Linked DNA regions of Nothobranchius furzeri. The protein of the gene in region 2 interacts with the protein of the main gene of each other region in a pairwise test. Links are inferred from orthologs where the notes say so. Each region holds a gene or a part of one and is shown on either strand. Other genes may lie near its edges.

What was found.
Region 1: the proteins of kif20a (region 2) and atosb interact in binary tests that used the Homo sapiens proteins (3 or more experiments, as listed by UniProt). The two-hybrid records come from large-scale screens. The link is inferred for Nothobranchius furzeri from reciprocal best matches to the Homo sapiens genes KIF20A and ATOSB.

Annotation. Positions count from the first base shown.
Region 1 is NC_091757.1:57,317,477-57,323,017, reverse strand, and holds the start of atosb (atos homolog protein B), read right to left. Parts: upstream 3,289-5,541; 5' UTR 3,085-3,288; intron 1-3,084. UniProt on the Homo sapiens protein: Transcription regulator that may syncronize transcriptional and translational programs.
Region 2 is NC_091750.1:46,183,731-46,188,597, reverse strand, and holds the end of kif20a (kinesin-like protein KIF20A), read right to left. Parts: coding exon 4,756-4,867; intron 4,337-4,755; coding exon 4,262-4,336; intron 4,182-4,261; coding exon 4,041-4,181; intron 3,955-4,040; coding exon 3,786-3,954; intron 3,718-3,785; coding exon 3,565-3,717; intron 3,424-3,564; coding exon 3,284-3,423; intron 3,118-3,283; coding exon 3,015-3,117; intron 2,923-3,014; coding exon 2,706-2,922; intron 2,631-2,705; coding exon 2,539-2,630; intron 2,456-2,538; coding exon 2,318-2,455; intron 1,940-2,317; coding exon 1,586-1,939; 3' UTR 1,040-1,585; downstream 1-1,039. UniProt on the Homo sapiens protein: Mitotic kinesin required for chromosome passenger complex (CPC)-mediated cytokinesis. Following phosphorylation by PLK1, involved in recruitment of PLK1 to the central spindle. Interacts with guanosine triphosphate (GTP)-bound forms of RAB6A and RAB6B.

The DNA.
Region 1 (5,541 bases), on a different chromosome or scaffold from region 2:
TTTGGGTGTTTTGTCTTCTGGATGGACCAGGTTCTGTCTGAGGGTGTTGTTGGGTTTAAAGTTTACCGGGATGTTGCGTTTGGAGAAGACTCTTCTAAGTTTCTCGGAGACTCCTGCCACGTATGTGATGACGGTGCCTTTGCGCCTGTTAGCCTTTCCTTTTCTGGTTGCTGCTTTGGATGCTTTTCCAGACTGCATCTGCAGTTTTGGAGAGCTTTCTTGATGCGCTTTTCTTCCTTTTGTTTTCCTTCAGTCTTTGTGGGAATGTTCTCGGCCCGATGGTGTAAAGTCCTGATGACTGACATCATGTCTGTGAATGCTGCAAAATCAGTTTGAACTACTTAAAAGCACTTATAATGAAAACGCTCAACATGTTAATTAACCCCCACGAAATTACCGACGATTCTAATCATGTATGGGAATAAAAGTAGCGTGGGTCAACATGGGTCTCGTTTTCAGTTCAAACTGATTAGATTCTTAAAGGTGTGGAACACTCATTTAATCAATGCATTTGCAGTGGTCTAAAGTAGGAATGAATGAGTTGTAAGCAGAGGCTGACCCACATATTCAATTTTTTCTATATCGGCCATCAGCTAAAATGATCTATAAAAGCCGATAAAAATATATATTGTTTAAAAATCAGGCACCCGTGTGGCCAACTGCCCCCACTACTAGACTGAAAAAAGGACCCAAAGGACCCCAACACACTATTTTTTTAATGTTTTGAGTTTGTTTTATATTTGAAGTTCAATAAATAAGCCACAGGCTATGTTTTTGTTATTCAAGTATAACACGTTAAAAAAACTACTGCAAATGTAGTTATGAGCCTAGAAGCTTAGAGAAATTTGCTTTAAGTGAGAAAATGGGAATTTTAACATTTCTATAAGGTCTTCACCATCTCATCTGGAAAAACGGTTGCAGAAAAGGTCCATCAAAATATTCGTGGCATCTCGAGGTGTGAGGATATTTGATTTCTAGGTGAAAAAGGTTCTTCTCCTTACCTGTGCTTTTCACCAAAGTGATCTTTCATCTCAGCCTTTGCTGTCTGAGATGAGTGAACCACTGAGCACCGCCCTCACAAACGCACAATTTTCTACTTTCAAACGTAACCCCTGTAGAGGCATTTCTCCCTGTTTTTAGTTTCAGGGAATTAAGTTCTAGTGTGTGTGTGTGTGTGTGTGTGTATACACACACACACACACACACACACACACACACACACACACACACACACACACACACACACACACACACACACACACACACACACACACAATCAATACAACCCCAGAGCTGTGATGAGGACTGGATCTAACCTACATAATCATCTGTAATCTCTGACATCAAATCCTGCAGGGGCACATTGGATGACTCACAAAAAGCTCCCAACAGCTCACGGTGTTTAATAATCACACACACACACACACACACACACACGCAGGCATGCACAGGCATACACACATATACAGCAGGTAAAAACCAGCATCATGGACTGCATCCATAACATCAGACAACCAGAAGAAATATAGGATGTTCACTTGATTTGGACAAAGACAGGCTGGACACACAGAGGACAGCGGGATGAACAGTGTCCTTTAGGTAGCGTGGTTTATCAGATGACCTGCCCATGTATAAAACTGAGTGTAGGTGCAGAATCAGTGGTATTATTATAAACCTCTTTACATGCATTATCTGAACTAGACACTGGTGATTACTTATGATAAAATGAAAGCATGCACATTTAACCCTTTTCTTGCACAACTCTGTGTTCTTCCTTGATAATTATCTACAGATGTATTAAAACTCAGGTCTACGACGCAGAACTCTACATGTTGAAGTAGGAAATCCAGGAAGTCATGGCTGGGGTTTCCTGAAGTTCCTTTGCTTTCATACTTTTACCTTTGCAGTGTTTGATCTTCTCTTTTGAAATGAACAGATCTACTGAGTTCCTCTGTCTCACCTGGCCATACTGCATTCATTAGAGAGAGCTTCCTTCTTTCCCAGGGAGGTGGGGAACCTAAGACCAAGTGTGTTTGAACATATGACATGCCCAGACCTAGGTCTCTTGAACAACATGTACACTGCCGTCAGGGCTGGTTACAGCAAATATCTGCATGACGTCACACTCAGCTGAGGACAAAGCCCACTGCTTTCTCCCAGACAGAGAGAGGTGGGGGTGGGCATAAGGAGCAATGCATGTACTGTGCTGCTGCAATGTAGATATGGACACTGTGTGTGTGTGTGTGTGTGTGTGTGTGTGTGTGTGTGTGTGTGTGTGTGTGTGTGTGTGTGTGTGTGTGTGTGTGTGTGTGTGAAGCAAGCAGCTGCAGGATTTCCATGTGCACCAGTGCTTTATGAGTGAGGCAGTGTGAGACTGCAAACATGTGTGCATAATGTGCACGTGCAAGCACCAAGCCACTGTGTTCCATTTTTACAACACAGTTTAAGGCCAACAGAAATGTCACCTTTGCAGTGAGAACTGTTAAACATCAGTGCATGATCACTGCTGAAGCAATGCAACTCCCAAGAGCAATCCAAGGGAACAATACACCCACTGCAATGCTATGCTCCCCCCTATGAGCTTTGCAGGGATCATTAGCCCAAGATTTATGCTCAGTCATAACCTCACATATAATACATCACTCATTCTAGCTGATCTCTTTCTCTGAACATAGATGGACAACCAGAGGAGGAGCAAGAAAATACAGCATTTTCTTATCAGATGCACATGAAACCATAACAGGACACTGGGCTTATTCTTTAACTTTGTGTCTCTAAGCGTTGCAGATTGCATGCAAACACATAAAAAGTGAGACAAAGCAGGGGAACGCCCCCTGTAACCCTACTGTCAGTCCATCAGCTGTCTCAGTATGAATTCCTGCATTGTTTGATCTCATTCACATTTTTAAATGATGACTGATCCCATGCACGCTTACGGGGCAAGTATTTCACCTGAAGCCTTTTAAATTACTAGGTAAATATCATTTTGTCTCGTTTCCTTACTGACACACTTACGCACACAACGTATGAATGCGGTTTAAAAGACAACTAGTTTGGCTAAATGCTGGTTCTAGCGTCACTAACCTCACGGAAGGACCCGCTCCTCGGCAGGAAAAACACGTCCAGGCGTTCAGAACCGAGCGTCCGTGTCGTCTCGGAGTTTGGCCTTTTTGTTATCTCTGTCGTGAGGAGTGCTACGTTGTCGCTTTTCCAGGTGGCTAACGGCAGAAGACCGAAGCATTAGCTCTAAATGTGACGTGGGAATGGTTCCGTTCGTTTCTGTCTCGTCCTCTCACCCAGCCCTGAAACACAGACGAACATAACGTCCTTTCCTCAACGTGCCTGTCTTCTTTTTTTGTGTGTTCACAGCTGTTTTCGTGGTTTAGAGCAAAAATATGCCTCCTGTCTCTTTAAGAATCGTTTCCGGGGTTTACTGACAACTCCGCGGTAGGCGGGACTTAACGGCCAGCTGGGTTCTTATCGTTAATGCGATTGGCAGTTCGCATCCTGGTTAACCAATCAGCACACAGAGACCATAATCCACTTTAAGATATGCAGATTTATTCAAAAACACCTCAACGCCATTGGCTGTTGGATAACTTTAAACTCCACCCAGTACACGTGCTTTCTACCCTCCCGGACTTTAGTGCCAGCCAGGGAAGGCTTTTGTGCTCGGCCTAACGTAATCAGCCGTTTCTTCCTCTAAACTCTCAACACTAATGTTCAAAGAAAAAATCATTAGCAAATAATATCATCGATACTCGCAGAAATGACAGAAGAACTATGCTAATCCCCCTCTTTCCTCACATATGAACTGAATTAGTGAGAGCCATGTTGTCAGAGCTAAGAATAGACCAGCTATATGCTGTATCCTCATGCTGCCCTGGATCCACGCCTGTCTACCCACAGCACACCACTTTGCCCTTAGAGGAGGCCTGACGCGACAAATGAAGGCCCAGAGCACACAGGACACTGCTCTAGGCAACTTAGTTCCTCTAATAAACTCTTCTTGGCTGCCTTCTGGTTTTCAATTCAATTCAAAAATACTTTATTAATCCCAGAGGGAAACTGATTGCTGTAGTAGCTCAGAATAATAATAATAATCAAGTCATCAAAGAGGTGTTGTATATTACAATGGCTGTTGGCAAGAAGGATCTCCAGTAGCGGTCAGTGTTGCAGCCAAACTGAAGAAGCCTCTGACTGAAGACACTCTTCCGTTGTCGGACAGTCTTGTGAAGAGAATGCTCAGGGTTGTCCATCATGTTCTTGATTCTCTGGAGAGTCCTTCTTTGCATGATCTCCTCCAGCGGTTCCACAGTCGTCCCCAGAACAGAAGCAGCCTTTGTTATTAGGCTGTTGAGCCTTTTCAGGTCCCTGCTTCTGATGCTGACCAGCACCTGATTTATCATTGCCCATTATGATAGATGGAAGAGATGGTTTGAATTTCCTCTTTCTCTGTCTCCGTTGTGCTCCCGCTCTGCACCCACGCTTCTTGCGTTTTAGCTCATGTGGGATTTGTGGCTTCAGTTGAGGTATTATTTCAACCTTTCCAATGTTAATCAGCTGCTCCCGATTGTAAACCAGCCTGTTGCCATGGTTACGCATCATAACAAATGCTCAAAAAGTGAAAAAATTGCAGTAAAAATCCTCCAAGCTTCACAGCACCAGAAACAGAAAAGTAAAGTGTCAAAAAATACAGTTTTTCTTGAGAAACTAGAAGAAAAAATGTCCAAAAAAGGCAAAACTTACATATAGTCAACAGAGCTACTCCAACATGCAGCCGCCCAGAGCAGCCAAGTAAAAATCAGGACTTAAGTTAGGGTTAGGATTGTAATAATTAAAGGCAAAATGGTACAAATTAATTAAGCATGCTTGATGATCACCAACCGTTTACAAAGACTTCTGCCAGACTGGATCAAATATTTAAAGAGCAAGTCACCCCCAAATCTACCTTTTTTCTTCTGATAAACTATATTAATGCGTGTCTAATCGTGATGCAGACATGTAGTTAATAGTTTAGCACTTTAGTTAAACTTTTTATTTTCTGCCTAAAACTGTCAGTGTTGTGCCGTTGTCAGGTAAAAACTCTGCACTGCATTTGAATTTAAATCTGCCATCGCTATTGGCTAAGAGGTACCCTATATGATGTCACAATGCAGGTGTGAGCCTGTGTATATTTGTTAGCGGCTCCACCCTCTCGGTCTGCTAGGCAACAGCATTTGTTGCATTTTTCAAACAGGAAGTGGGAGTGGAGTAATACTCTGGTAGGGAGTGACTTGCTCTTTAATTATTTTTACCCCATTAGCCTTTTAATGTCAAATGAAAACACACAAGAGTGCATTTTTACACAACTGACACGCTTGTGTCTTAGAAACCAACTTCCTTTGCACTTGTTTTGTAAATAATAAAATTCTTGAAAACTTGAAGATGTGTGAGTTGGCAGCTTTACCTGTAACTTTCTGCAGCGTAATCTAAAAAAGAAAACGTGAGTCTATTATTTGTGTGTGCAGTCTAAAGCAAAGTAAAACAGACACACATACA
Region 2 (4,867 bases):
CCAATAAGCTCTTTAAGAAGAGGTGTCATTCTACAGGGCAACACTGAACATATTAACAAACGTGCACTCTTAAAGTGACAGTGTGTGTTTTTTCTGCCGATAGGGGGCTGTAGATACCCAAATCGTTGCAAGCAAGCAGTATTTTTGTGTCGGAGTAAGACCTTACCAACGGATGCCCATTTGGGTCAATAAGGCCCGGGGAGTGCAAACTTCAGCAAAATAACATCAGACTCGCTTTCTTCACTGGTAATAAGAGGTAAAAGTGTAAAACAATCTTTATTAATGGTGAAAGTTTTGTAACCATTTGTTACAAATCAATACATTTTGTCCTCATGGGCTCCCGTAGAAGGAAATGTGGCATCTAGTGGGCCATTCCCATCTGTACCGGGTCGGCCCTAGCCTGGCCCGTTTGATTCCACACATCCTTGTCTTAAGCCCATGTGGGCTGATTCTACACACCAATCAGAGGCTTACTCTAATGGAAGGTGTGAATTTGCTGTCAGCAGTGGGTGTGTTGGCCCTGGTCGGCCTGAAGCAGACCCCCTCGAGAAGAGGGCTGAGAATGAGCCTTGGTTGGCCTGGAAAAATACCAGGCCACCCAGATATGTAAACAACCTACGCTACCCGGCCCGGTACAGATGGGAATGACCCATAATATTGCGTCACCCAGAGACTTGGACCCAATCCCAGTACTTCCTCTTGCACCCTTGAATTGAGCGTTCCCGGCCAGGGGTGCGGGTGCGTAGGATGTCCCGATTCTCAAGTGCAGAAGTTGATGCATTGCTCCCCGTCTCAATTCTGCAATTATTTGCACGCTTGTGTACTACACACTCGAACTCTACAGCGCACGTTCTCCAAGTGCACTTTGCTGCAGGGCGCAGTGCAAGTGTTGAGATCGGGCCTTCGACCCGTTTCCATGTATTTTAGACCGTTTTTTTATGGTTATACGTTACAAAGCCGCTAATATTTTAACTGGGCGTCATTTCATTCATTTTCAAATCTTGGATACTTCCAGAAATTAACAATAAAAAATACTACATTGTCCCTTTAAATGTTTTAATACAAATGAAATAAAGATGAAGGAAAGGACAGACAGCACAAAGAAAGGACTAAATTATTTACAAATCACTTTCTAATTCTTTACAGTCAAACTCCACAGACACACCCCCCCCCAAATAAGAAATAAAAGTTTAATTTAGTCCCGAAAAACAAACCGAAGTAACAAAAGAATCCCCACAGAATCAGACATGCAGTGGATCACTGGGATAAAACATAAAAGTGCTTCCAGAGACAGAGGGAGTCATACTAATCTCCAGCAGCAGCCCATAGACGCCGTAGCTGTGTTTGTGTTACATGCAAATCTTTCTTTAATCTGCAACAGATTAAATGTGACCACACAAATTAGTTTGACTTATCGCTGATGCAAGTGAAGGCAACACAGACAGGTGGCTGATTTTCACACTCCTGCCTTAAAGCGTTGATCGTGTTACTGGCATTACGGATAAAAAACTGCACGGCAAAAATAGTCTCAAATATAAAGCAATGCCATAGAGTTAAGCAGCAGCAAGGCTTTTCACTGAGGAGCTCAGTATTTGCCCCTGAGAGAGCGTGGGGTCGGGACAGGGCTGGGAGGAGGAGATGGCTGGCGTGATCGTAGGATCCGCGTGTACGGGGTCATGCAGGCTTCTTCGGCGACGCGGGTGTTGTATTTACGAGGCGGGAACAGAGACTGGAAGAAAGGCCGTTTCTGTGGAGGGTGGTTTTCGCTTCCAGCTGGGGTGGTCGCTGTGCCGCCTCTCTTTTTGCAGGAACCAGGTGTGGTGGGAGCGGCGAAGCTCGTAGGGGGCAGCTGGGCACACCCCGCCAGAGTCTCCGCTTTTCGCCTCAAGTCTGCCTTGACCAGAGTCAGGTTGTTCTGGAGCTCCATCAGGATCTGGTTCTGAGAAAGAGTCAGTGAACAGGGTTAGACCAGACCACAGCGGAGGAAGGGTGAGATCGTGGGGGTGGAAGGATGAAAAGAGTGGGAGGAAAAATGCTACATGCTTTGATTAGCTTAGCAAACACCTGGTGAAGACGTTAGAAACCTAAATGTAGTTTTAAAGCTGGCTGTGCAGCAGGAGTGTTAGGAGAGCAGACAGAGGGAGAGAGAGAGAGCATAGGTCAACATGAGAACTGACATTATAATCAGCATGAAAGTAAAACTACAGCTGAAGAGGCGGGAACCGGGCTAGTTAACCAGGTTTTCTGCATGTTGAGACTAAAGCGCTGCTTCAGAACAGAAATGGAAACAAACTTATTCGGTTTTCACACGTTGTACCTGCTTAGCCAGAGTCTCGTCTGCTGCCGTTAGCGTGTGACGCAGCCGTTCCCCTCCGGTGTTACGACAACAAGCTCGTTCTCCAGATTGCAGATCGGTTCCCAGCCTCTGCAAATCCAGACGCAGCTTCTGCAGGTTCTGTTGGAAGGGAAAGGACATTTTTGTTGTCCGTGAAGGCGATGAGGGTCACGGGTAGGGTTAAGACCTAAGATGGTACTGACCCTCTGGCCCTCCTGCAGCTTGCGGTCAGCAGCACTGGTGATGGCGCCAGCTGAACCTGGAACTTCTAGCTGCATCTTCAGCTTTGTCAGCTCTGCAGACGCGAGCAGAGTGAGATTGTTAACACCTGCATCCCAACACTAGAACACAAAGCATCATGCAGCCAGACCTTGGGTCTTTGTGAAAAGCTGCGAGCGACACTGATCAAGTTCAGCGCGACACTGATCGAGCTCGGCGTGCAGCCTCGGTTCGGCCTGAGACATGAGGCGGTGAGAGCGCCGAGGGCCTTCCGAGTCCACAGGAGAGGCCGTGGACGGCACAGACTCGTGCTTCCTCTTTTCCTGTTCAAGGGCAGTGGATAACTCCTTGATCTCTTCATCACGCTCCTACAGAAACACAGGAAGCAGGTTCTCCTCAAACCTTTGATAGGATTAGAGAGAAGACCTTACAAAAGCTTTAAAGAAGTCCAAACCCTCACCTGAAGCTGCTGGCTGTAGAACATCTTCAGGTGTTTCTGCAGATTAGCTATCCTGTCCTCACATCTCTCCTCCATTATGGCCCTTTCAGCCTCCAAGGACTCGCTTCAGGACAAGAAGACAGACTAGCATCTTAATGTCAAACAGGTCACTCTTGTTTCTCGCTTGACGATCAGCTGTGTGTTTACTATTTAGTTCAGAAGCATCTAAAACATGATGCCACGGCAGGTTCTGCGTACATTAGAGCAAGAACAAAACCAAGCACACATACTTGAATCCTTTCCGCATGTCAGACATGACCACCATCACCTCCGAGACCACCTCCTCCCTCACATTAGCCTCCAGGACTTCCTTCTCCACTCGCTGGCGGCGCACTTCTCTCTTCAGCACATCGATGACCTGCAGCAGAGTCTTAATAACGTACAACCGGGTGTTAGAACAACTCGCTGTAGATGGAAATGCACCTTGAACTCATGTTTATCTTGAATGTTTGCATTTATCCAAACGTGCACAAAGCACTACGAGATCCCGCGTCTGCAAACTCAAACACACCTCCATATTCAACAACGTGATATCTCCATCTTCAACATCACTTTCCTCCTCTTCTTCCTCCATCACTGTGCTTCCATCACGGTTAGCCGCCGGCTCGCACAGTAGCGACAGGATGTAGGCCACTCTGGTCTTTGTGGACGGGCCGTGGACGAGCTGAAATGACAACATGCCTCATCTCTGAACTCAGAAGTTAATGGCGTGTGGGAGTGTTTTGTTTTTACCTGGGTAGCGATAGCAGAGAACTTTAGTGCCTGGAGGGTCTCATCGTAGATGGATGCACACGGATTAATGTTGACCACCATGCAGGAGGTCCCTCGGCCACAGAAGAATCCCTGCAGAACCCGGGTCAGTTTACTGTCCCTGAAGGGCACCACCTGAGGGGGTCGCAACCTGCAGACGAGTTAAAAAAGTTCCAGGAGATTTTAGAAACTGCATTTTTTTATTATACTGCATAACCATCCGGGTTCGGAGCATACTTGTTCTGGTTGTGCCTTAAGGCAGCGATGCAGCGCCCCAGTGTCAGGAGGGAGGTGTTGATGTTGTTGGCCTCCTTCATCCGCTCACCGTTACGCTGCTCCTTACAGCGCTCAGACCCGGCCAGATCACACACAGTCAGTCTGCCGGGCAGACGGAGCTTAGCTTCAGGACTTTTTACAGTAAAACAGGTGAAGTTTACAGTAATAAAGGGTAAACTTACTCGCTGATGTGCATGGCCTGACCTGAAGCGGCCTCTGGGCGGACATGCAGCACACGGACTGAGAAGACGCTGTGGCTAAAATCAGAAATGATTTTACAATGAGCAACGCAAAAAGTCCGACTAAATACCGGAGATGCACCGATTCTGGTTTCTAGGGCCGATAACGATTTCCTATTTTTGTGCAGCTTAACTCTGATTCTGGTTAGTCTCAAAGAGCTGTTTGAAATCAACAACTTTAGAAATATCGTTAACACGACTCAGCACTCGGTGATGGCGGGTTCACCCACCAGGAAACTTCCCAAGTCTGTATGGCTGCATCACAAAGGTGTAATCCTGGACCAAAACATAATAAAGCCATTTTTTTTACTTCAGATCTGCCAATCACCCATTAAGCTGATCATCGTGAATACCGGCCAGTTCCAATCACGAGCCAATTATCTGTAACTTTTCTGCTAAACATGTTTTCCCAAAGCAAAAGTTTAATGTTTGCCCACCTCCTGCTGGAGTTTAGGTTCAGGTGGGTGCTGGCGAAGCTCTGGCTACGACGTCCAGCCTTCAGAATCCTCCAAGCTTCCTCGGCGCTGCGGACTTGGATCCAGGTCAGAT